Linked DNA regions of Drosophila melanogaster. The protein of the gene in region 2 interacts with the protein of the main gene of each other region in a pairwise test. Each region holds a gene or a part of one and is shown on either strand. Other genes may lie near its edges. The genes, in order: aspr, CG4116 and CG17666.

Region 1 (3,756 bases), about 17 Mb from region 2:
ATATGATTGATATTGGGCGGTATGAATTATGAGGAGGCAGGGGAGTGGCTCCATTTCGGTTTGGGATCCAGGATCCCGGACAACCCAATCCATCAGGGCAACCTGTCGCGCGACCTTGACTGGCTGTTGGAAAGGAAAGGAGACAAAATATAGGCAGCTAAAATATGGTAAGCTAAGTGTTGGCCCAGAGATTTGTAGGCCAAGACGGTATAATTAAGTTGGCCCAAAGAACAGGTGCCCGTATCGGTCGTCAGGTGAATTCTCATTCAATTATGGCCAATTGGCGTACGTTTCAATTTGCAGTTTAATCTGTAATATTCCCATATCGATTCGATTTGCGGAGCTTAAGCGATGCCATTCAATGATGCCATTTCATTTGAAAATGGTAGTCGATTGCAAATTGGCAAATGGTCATTATCTTATTGCTATAGGTCAAACCATCTCTATTATTCATTCTAACCAATGCCCACGCAGCCAGCAGAAGTCAAGATTCTCGTTTTAATTGGCTCGATTCCAGTGCAGATTCGTTTGTTCTTAATCCGTTCTTTTTGATATCGAATGAAAGTGGAGCCGGTCTTGCTAAGCTTATATTTTAAACTCGAATGCCATTGAAATGGACTTAGGAAACGGTAGAGTGAGTTAGTGAAGATGTTCAATGAAATACCCAATTGGCTTATTGTGTGGTATGAGTGAATCGGAATACCTCAAGCTAATCAAGAATATTTACGGCCTCTCAGTTTTTTTTTTTTTTCAAATTTTATTTTCTTTCATTTATGTATATTCTCTTTTCGCTTACTATTTGAACGGAAATGGGCGATTTTTTGTTCTCCTCAATTTCCGACATATTTCAGATTGAAAAATATGTAAATTCGTGAAATTAATTAAATTTTGTAATGCGATTATCTACATATATCTTATGCCCAATTAAGAAGAAATAGAAAGAAGAAAAAACCTTAGCGAAATGACCATATTGAATATTTCCCCCAGTTAGTAGTAATAGGCATCCGGTGCGGATAAGATACATTCTGTTTGAAGAATCGGTATAAATTATAGTATAATAGATTTGTAAATTTAAATGACATAACTGTCTTTTAAATCCTACAAAGATAAAGAGTCGCTTAGTTTTGGATGCTTTCAGAAATATGTGTGTACATATATTACCAGGTACCGCCTAGTACTAGCGACCTGCCCATTGTGTCAAGTGGGCAATTTCTTCGTTCACAGCCAAGTTGCCTACGATCCGGAGCCGTGTTTAGTAGGAAGCCCAGCCAAGTTCGACCCACGGCACTTGGATGCAGCGGCCCACGCAGAAATCGAGCCATCATAGCAAAGGCATGACCAAAACAATCCGAAGCAAAGTCGCGTCAAGTACGCGTATATAAATAGCCCGATGCCCAGGCAAATATATGTATATATATGTATATGTATGTGTGTACGAATGACTCAGTCTGAGAAGCGATTTGGACTGAAATGATTTTAGCTAAAATCGAGCAGCACAATATACAAAGTCAACAAACAGCAAAACAAGCTTGTCAAACAGAGTTATGAGACAGAATGCTGGTGCATTGGGAAAAATAGTTTTCCAACTGACAGGCTGAACAAATATATATAACTAAATTAACTACTTCATCAATTTGATCTACTGCTTTCGTTACTCGAAATGTTTCTAGTTTAGCAAGTTGAACTTATGCAGACATAATGGTAAATTAGTTATAAAACTAATGAATTTGGTAAATTCCGATCTTTATTTTGTTAAAATTACAACAACTATTGGATGCTACTACCTGAGGAGAGATAATTTACTTTACAAATCTTTAATATCAAGCTATACTATAGTTTTTTCTCTGTGTAAGTGGAAGGGTTGTGGATGCGGGGTAGAGGGGAATTCGGGAAGGGAAGGTGAGCAGATCAGAGCAGAGCAGAGCAGCTGAGAGATGACGCCAACGTCGCTCAGCTGTTTCTCGGCCAAGTTAAGAGTTGCGGCCTTATAAATAGCCCAAGCTCGTCTAGAAGCCGACTCAGTTGAAAGCGAAGCGTGCCAAGTGGGAAATCGCAACCATTTATCAGTTGACACTTTTTGTTTTGTTTTTTATTTTACGTTCTTTATCTGCTGTAGTGCTAGTGTTTTCTAAGAACTGAACCCCGAAAATGGTGAGTTGCAGTGGGAATAACCAAAATCAATATGTATATATAAACGTGTGTTAAGGAATATATCCTTTTTTTTTTTTAAATCATCTAAACTGAAGCAATCTATCAACGATGGATAATTTATAAACAATTTTATAAAAGTAATAAAAATGGGTTCGATTTAAGGAAAGAATCTGAATCACGAATAAGTATATAGATTTAAACTTGCACATTTATTTGCTGTTTATTTTCTTCACCGCGAAAACTTAAGTGAAAAAATTACGCACAAAGGCAATACATAAAATATGCATTCAGTAAATGATACGTGAATGGAATATTGATGTACTTAAAGCAAACACGACAAAAAAAATATTCATTTCACAATGTAAGGACTTAACTTTGCTATTTGCTATTTACTTCCGGCTAGATGAATAGTGGTGAATGGATTTGCAAATACATCGAATGAACCAAGAAATATTCCCACATACTCGTAATGTTTCTGAAGCCCACGATCGGTTTATTCTTTTGAGTGTCTTCGATCTGCCTTTTATCTGCCCATTTTTTTGTTTTTTTTGGCGATGATCAATCACTCAACGCTTTTTAAGCTGCCCAAGTAAACATCAAGCCCATTATTCATTTGTTTGTGCACAAAGCCAAAAACACAAACCAATTAGTTTCTAGCACTTTAGCATAGCTTGTTATTTTAATTGCCATTACGAGAAGAGTAAAAAGTCCAATAGATTTGAATTGTTTACCTTTTTACCTACTTATGTTGAGCACTTAACATTTTCTTGCTCATTATTTAAATTTAGAAAGCATTAATTTAATCTAAACTCTGACAGGTTTTACGTTTTATTTAACTAATTCAAGATTGAACAGATTATATAGTTGACTATTTAGTTCTCGCCCTTCCAAAAGCAATTATTTAAATGTACATATGTATGTACATATATAATATAACAAATATGGCTCTGATTCACTTCACTTCCCTTGCGCAATGTAATCAGATTATAAATCACCCTGCAAGATGTGTGATTTAAGAAAAAAATCCAATTTCCTCCCTCGGTGGATCCATCCGTGCCATTTACGCGATGATCGACAACTTAGTTGATACGAACATGGACTACCATATTGGTCATTCAGAGTAATTCGAAAAGGCAGCCGACCCCCATTTGCATATTCTTATTGTATGCCGATATTTGAATAATTGTTTTTAGCCCGAATTGAGCTTCCAAAGAAGCGGACAACAAGTTTATCACCCATGTGTCATTCGCCAACAATGATCGCCACCTTGAGAGCGAAGCCATATCATCATCTCGATCGTCTCGTCTCGTCTCGTCTCATCTCCATGCCCAGTTAGCCCAAACATGGTGCCACCAGAATCCCACTGACCACTGAGAGTCCAAGTCCAAGCCAATGTTTGCTACCAAACAGCGGATCATCGAGTTAGTCATGTTTATTGGGCTTTTTCAGAACTCGAATGCGATTATGACACATAAACCGGCAAAGGGGGCGTGATACTCGCTTCTCGATTGAGATGTTTGTTCATATCGAATACTTTAGTGAATGAATCCCAATCCAGTTCAAACTCATTTCATTCGACTGGCTCTACGATTGACGCAGAATATG
Region 2 (3,582 bases):
CAGCAGCTGCAGGTGGGCGCCCACGCCTCCTCCATTCGGCCTCTTGCCTTCCACGCCCCTTTCCACAATTTTTCACCACCCATGCCACTATGGCCTTGCAGTGATTAATTTCTATTATTATGACACTGATTAGGTCCACTTACAGGCTCATTACAGTCATGAGCACATAATACACAGCCCGGACACGTGACGGTGATTTAGAGGTTCGCGAAATGGAACAGCGGCGCCGCACGAGGGGTCGTCCTGCTGACCAGGACGAGGAGCAACGGGCGCCACTCCCCGGGCGCCATCCTGCAGACATTTATCAAGACATTGACCGCCGCATGCAGAGCCGACCGGAGACCGTTTGTCTTGCACTTGACCAGGGGCTCACCAAGGGGGTTCTAAACGGGCCAGCGCACCTCGCAGACACACCGACTGGCGGCCCTTTGAACATGAACACCAGTTGGCCCATAAATTAGTGCAACTACGCCAAATCCACTGGCCTACACAAATTTGAGGCTTTGCAATCGCAAATTTGGTCGATTGGAAAACATACACAAGGTGAGAGCAATGATGTCCATGAAATATGCATGTTATACCAAAGCTAAAATTTAATTATCCATTTCACGCCTTTGCCATAATGACCTCGAATAAAACCACCTTGGTTGCAGAGTGTAATTGCTTTCAATCATTTAAATAAATAAATAAGGTTGCCTTCTCGCATACTAATAGTAATCATTAAAAAAAAAAAAATTCCTTGGCTGGGGGGCAAAAAAAAAGTAATTTTTCGCTTAACTAAGAAAGGCGGTGGATCCTCTTCTCAACCGCGATTTGGTCGCACCACCATCACCTGGGCCTTATTCTTGCCCCGCTTGTTGCCACGCCGGCGACGTCGCTGATTGTTGTTGTTAATGCTGCCACGCCTCTTGTTGACCCGGCGCCTACGGGCGGGAACGCGCCTCCTATTGTTCTGGCCACCGGGACGCACTCGACTGGACACCGCCTGGCCAACGATCTGCGGCAAGAGACCGGCAACTGGCGAGGATCCATAGATGACCTGATTAATGGCCGCATTGGTGGCCGACGAGGAGGAAGACGATGATGATGAGGATCCCGAACTGCCCAGGTTCACATAGATAGCTCCATTGGAAGTCGTGGTGACCAGGCCAGTTCCGGTTCCCGAAGTCGTTCCTGTTGTTCCCGTCGATGTGCCCGTAACAGCTCCCGTTCCCGTTGATGTGGTGCCCGAAGTGGGACGCAGTTGCTCCAGCATATCCTGCTTATTGGTTATGTACTGATTCAGGGCCGAGTTGATACCGGTGTTTGAAGAGCTGGTGCTGCTGCTGCCACTGTTCAAGCCCGATGCCAGGAATCTCAGCTGGCCATTTTCGTTGCCATCCTTCACATAGATGCCGGCCAAACGGGTATTTTGTTCCTTGGCCAGCGGATCCTTTTCGACCTTCTGGGCCATTGCTGGGCAACAACTGCCCAGCAGACAGAGCACTAGAATTGCGTAGATCATTTCTGGACGATGGACCATCGAACTGTGTGTGCCATTGGGCAGATCTTTGGCACTTTTATAGCCCAACATGAGTTGACGGAAATCGACTTTCATCGGTCATGGATGCCATGATGCCCGGAATTTTGCTTGCCAATATATATAGGTTATAGGTTTTAGAAAGCCTTTCTTCATTCTTCTCGCACCATTTTTGCTGGCCCCGAGGCCAAATAGTTGGACTTTTCAAGTGGCAAGAGCGTGTCAAGAAGTGCCCCTACTTGTAGGCCATTGTTTGCTTTGCCGCGGATCGTGAACCTCAAGTGGTCGCAGCCGAAACCGAAAAGCAAAACCAAAGCCAAAAACCAAAACCAAAAACCAAGGAGCCACACTTTAATTAAAATTTAAAATCAGCAACAGAAACACGTCTGCTTGCAGCTTCAGTTGGGGGTTTTTTCGGGCACAGTGGGTAATAATATAAATGGGAATTTGAAATCCAAATCGTATATTGGTTTTTGTACCTTTTAAGGGTTCTATTAGCAACGGAATACTGCTCTATAGCCGAGCAAATACTCTGCACGATACAAAGTTGAACCCATAAACCGCTGTTGCCCCTTTATGCACCCACTTAACGCTTTCTCTCTCTCTCTGAGAATTGCATATTTTCATTCACTCCTTTTTTTTTTTTTTTTTGGATCAACCGCTGTGAGATTGTGCATTCGGAATGGTTTCCATCACTTTGGCGCCAGTGTGCCGCAGATGGCGCCCCCTATTGGGGCGCATTTAACCCCCGGAATCCCCCTTTTTGCCAGCCTCATTTCATTTGCCGTTGATGCGATGCTGCCTTGCTGGTGGTGCCTTGCTTCTCAATTTTTCGCCTAAGTTGGCCAACCGACAGTTTTGGGGCTGAATGCCTGGCGGGGGCTGTTGAAATAAATTTCACTTACGCCAACGCTCACACACACGCACCAAAACTACACTGGCCAAAAACACAAAGGATTGCTCTTAAACTAAGAAAAAACAAAGAAAGGGGCAGCCATGTTAAGCATATATTTTTGTAATTGTAGCGATATATGATGATAGTATGTCCCAAATTCCGCTTTTAAGAACCACCAATTGTTTTCTGCCAGTGCAGCGCACACATGGAGCGCCACACGAACGTAGAGACACATACGAATGTCGCTCACTGTTCGCGGTTCGTCCTTTACTTGGCAATGCAATTACAGGCGCTAACCGCGCGTGAAAACAGCAACAGTGGCAATAACAACAACGGCTAAGGGAGAAACTATCCATCCACACCGAAGGGAAGCATATGCTCCTAAAATCATCTTTAAACCGGACTATCCACACGAATTATAATGCGCAGGCTAAACTAGTTTCAAAGCTAATATTAGTAGATAGTATTATAGTGATGTGCATTCAAATAGAACTGGTAATATCATATATATACTAACGTATAGAAAATAAATATATTGAATATGATCATACTTAATAATTTGTTTGTCAACTTAAAAGCTGTCAATTTGCTCAACGATTTGCAGTGACATTCGGCAAGGCAAGAGTATGTCCGATAGTCTTTCCTGCTCCTTGGCCTTCCTCTTGATTCACTTTATCCGGCACCACCTCTCGATTTTCCCCACCCCACACGCAAGGTGAGGCTTCCATTTCCCATTTTCCTGCCACTGAGCGGCTTAAAGCGACGCAATGACAATTAACAACAGGCGACGACAAAACGACAACGAAAGAAGGTGAGGCTAAAAATGGGATGGAGGTTGGGAGGTACTCAGAGGTACTTTTGGGTGGTTGGGGAAAATGCCATATCAATGACAGCACCAGAAGCCCGAGAAGAAAAATAAAGCGACAACTTCACGCCAGGACTCCTCGCAGGAGATTCCACCCACTTGCCAAACCACCACCCACAACCCACCACACAACATCCGACATCCAACAGCCAACACCCACCTGCCCCACACACTTACGCATATTAACAGGCTTGAATTTTTCAGTTTTTCGCAGACTTTTCCAGCAACACACCAACACACCAATAGCCCACCCCTTCCATTTTCATTTGCACGTGCAATTGAAGTGCAAAATGCGTTTGGCAA
Region 3 (3,756 bases), on a different chromosome or scaffold from region 2:
ATTCATTGTACGGATAATACTGATTGGATGGATCAATGCCCATGCCCACCCTCTGCTGGTCATAAAGTACGGGTTGTCGATTGGTAGGTGCTCCTACAGATTTATTACGATTTCTTGAATCGTACGATCTGTTGTTATCACGAGAACGCACTTCACCAGCGGATGCCATTGACTTGGGCGCGGACCTATGATCTACATTTCTATCTCCACCACTATTAGAATGATAATTGGTTGTGGCTCTACTGGCTTGTGGTTTTCCGGAACGACCTTCCCTCGACTCATTTCGGTGACTGAGCGACTTGGACCTCTGAGCACCTGGACTAGCATGAACATTTTCAGGAAAATTATTATTGGCATAAGCTCTGCCTGATCGATCTCCCCTAGATGGGCTTCGTTGATTTGGAGATTTAGATCTGTTGTTACCATGAGGCAGTTGCCCCTTTGATGACTCCAATTGGGGAACTGGCCTTGAATGTGTGGCTTGACTCTGCTGGTTATAGACTTCAGATCTGTTAGCACCAACATGAACTTGATTCGTTGATTGGGGAACAGTATAGCTATAATTCTGATTGTTGGGCTCACAGTTCATTGGTTGATTATTTCGGCCATAAGCTGGTGCACTTCCTCCTGAGGTAGGAGTGACTGGCATTTGATTTATTGGACGTTGTTGGAATGTTGCATCGAATGGAATATACTGACTATTGGGGGCACAGCTCATGCCTAAACCCTGTATAAATTGATTATAGGAAGGTACTTGCGCCGTTCCTTGTGGCCTTCCAGGTGGCATTTGGCGATCTCCGCATTGGTAGACTTCTCCGGTACAGGGATTAAACTTATTTGTGTACTGTGTGGGTAGACCTGCCGCTGGAATAGATCTTGGATCACCCTGACCTACCGAGGATGGTGGAGCCACTGGTAGAACTATGGGACCAGGTACACCAAAGCCTCCATATTGAGTCGGTGGCGGGATACCAAAAATCATTGGATTTCCTGTCGGTCCGTAAGTTCCATAACACGGAATAATAGTCGGTTGTCCCGGTTGGAAGCCAAAGCCTGTTCCGTAGGCTCCAGTTCTAGCTAGATCGTCTTGCGCGCAATCTTCAGGATTCTTGCATCCATTCTTACCATCTTGACATGGATTCTCACAACTCTCCGCACATGCATCCATGTTTAAACACGGATCCTTACAATTGTCCCCACAGGCTGAGCAACTTTTCGATCGTTTCCTTTTCTTTGGGCGCTCTGGCGTCTTTAGAAGAAAACTGGGCGGCACCATGTCCGAAAACTTTTGGAACTCCCCAGAAAACACGACGCGACAATTCCTCATATTAGAGGAACAAGATCGCTCACAGCAACTTGGTCGAGGACAGCACCTGCGGATGAGTATAAATGCAATTGGGTTGAGACACTAACTATATTCTTATACTTACCAGCCATTGCCATGGCAGCTTATGCACCTCCTTAAATATCGACATGGATCGCACATTTTCAACTCCTGGTTCTGTTTAAAAGTCCACCTTCACTCATGGTCAATTACGAAGAGTACACAAACATAACATCGGTAGTCAAAATCATAAAAAAGTAGAAGTAAATGGTACAATTTATATTTTTGATGTCCTAAACTAAGACTATATTGTTAAAATCATTGCATGATCAGTTGTGATAAAACAACGTTTTGAAAGTGGTGCTACCATCTTCATATATGTGTTCTTTACAGATTATAATATGATATGAATATAAGAGAAACCTTGTAAACAAAAAGACTTCCTTGGTTTATTTAACTTACTATTTATGTCGACCAAAACTCTCTTTTTAGTTTTGGTCAAAAAAATGACATTACAAAATTCTTTGTCACGCCAAAAAACAAATTTAAACGGAAGCATTGTATAACTGAGACAAAAAATTGTATTTGGGAAAAAAGAAGAAATGCCCAATGACGGAGTCAAGTCAACCAGGCCCAGTCCCTATTGGCGTCATGCGAGTCCTCCTCCGAGGAGGAACATAGCATCGGAGCAATACAGCAATCGAGTCGGACAGCAGCTGGTGCGAGCCCTGGCTCAGAGCTTACCGTCTGGACAGGAAGCCGTGCGTTCCCGATCATCCTGCCCACCAACACCTCGTCGTCGCCGGCAGGCAAGTGTCTGCAGATCGATGGGAAGTCCAGAGTTTGTGCCATTGATGTCGCACAGTAAGCCCAAGGCATCGGTTCGATTGAAGGCGGGTATGCCGGTGAAACCAGTGTTGGGAGGAGATCCACCCAATTCAAAGACTCCTGGTCAGTCTATGATGGCCTCAGCCAAACGTCGCAATGAATCCCCCACAGTGAAGGCAAAAAGCAGGGAAGAAGAGTTCAATAAGATACCAGAGCTGGTTAGTGAGGCATCCGTCGCCAAGGCCAGAGAAAAAGAGTTCGAAAAGATACCTTCCGGAGTTCCGAGTTTGACCGAAGAAAACAAGCAAACAGAAGTGAAAGACACAAATAATTCAATCCCGGAAACGCATGAGAACTTGAAACCGGAAACGAAAACCAATTTTATAATAGAGGAAGAAAAGCCCACAGAATGTATACCAGAAACGGAACCGAAGCCATCGAACTCGAAGATAATTCCCTGCTTTCGAGGAGAGTATCCCACACGACATCGTCCTGGTACTTGCCAATGGTTTCAATCCGACGTCCCCAATTGCGGAAATATCGTGACCATATGCGATGAGGAACACCAAATTATGGGTGAAGCGGAAATAGTCACCGCTTGCCAGGTTACCGAAGCACATTTCCTCAGCCTCGATTGTGAAAATGATAACATGAACAACGAACCGCCATCGATTTCGAGGTGCAATAAGTGCACGGGTTGTCCGCAGCAACAGAATGGTAATTGGTTTGGACAGCAACGATCTTGTCCTCAGCAGCAACAACCTTGCTTTCAACAGCAACAACCGTGCTTTCAACAGAAACCATCTTGCTTGCAGCAGAAACCATCTTGCTTGCAGCAGAAACCATCTTGCTTGCAGCAGCAACCATCTTGCTTCCAGCAACAGCAACGAAATTGTGGACGAAATCCACCCTGTCCCAATGTGAAACCAAAAGGATGTCTCAAGTGTCAGGAGCAGCAGCAGTCTGGCAAAGCATTTGCATACAATTTGCAGCAGTCGATGCAGCAGCAAGTTCTGCCGCAGATGCAGAATGTGTATCCTTGTCAGCAGCTTCAGCAAGTGAATACCTGTGATCAAATGGAACAACAAATGCAACAGCAAGGCATTGAGGAGAACAACTATGGCCTGACCGAAATGCTGGCCGAGGAGCTAAGAAAGCAAATGCTCGAGGCTCAGGCGCAGATTGCACAAGTGCAACTGCAGTTGAATAGCGCGTGTGGAGCCACAAGAGTGCGACAGATGCATGTGCTGTCCCAAAATGCCACTGACGTCCCACGTTGGGCGCCAGAAACTCAGTTTATTGATGTACTGGCAGAGGAACACGACGTGGGAGATGCCCAACCAGATGAAACAATGGAAAACGGCGAAGAGGATCAGGGATTTAACTCGCAAGTGGATCAGCATTCTTTGCCGGCTAGCTTTCCATGCCAAACCATCGAGTCCACCAGGTCGGAGACGATTTGGACCATGCCATCAGCACCTCAGTCGTCACAGCAACAGATGCCGTTTGGTCTGTATCCTGTGCCACTATCGATGCCAAATCAGAATAACTACTTCCAGCAGAATCCTCAACAATTTCCTTGCCAAATGGCTCCTTTTCAGCAG

Evidence for each region.
Region 1: the proteins of CG4116 (region 2) and aspr interact in a two-hybrid assay, tested with the Drosophila melanogaster proteins (one large-scale study listed by BioGRID).
Region 3: the proteins of CG4116 (region 2) and CG17666 interact in a two-hybrid assay, tested with the Drosophila melanogaster proteins (one large-scale study listed by BioGRID).

Annotation. Positions count from the first base shown.
Region 1 is NC_004354.4:20,146,111-20,149,866, forward strand, and holds the start of aspr (asperous), read left to right. Parts: upstream 1-2,013; 5' UTR 2,014-2,148; coding exon 2,149-2,151; intron 2,152-3,756.
Region 2 is NC_004354.4:3,065,966-3,069,547, forward strand, and holds CG4116 (uncharacterized protein), read right to left. Parts: upstream 1,598-3,582; coding exon 803-1,597; 3' UTR 650-802; downstream 1-649.
Region 3 is NT_037436.4:12,779,192-12,782,947, reverse strand, and holds the start of CG17666 (uncharacterized protein), read right to left. Parts: upstream 1,624-3,756; 5' UTR 1,487-1,623; coding exon 1,431-1,486; intron 1,374-1,430; coding exon 1-1,373. Other genes in the region: CG10969 (uncharacterized protein), read left to right, coding at 1,927-3,756.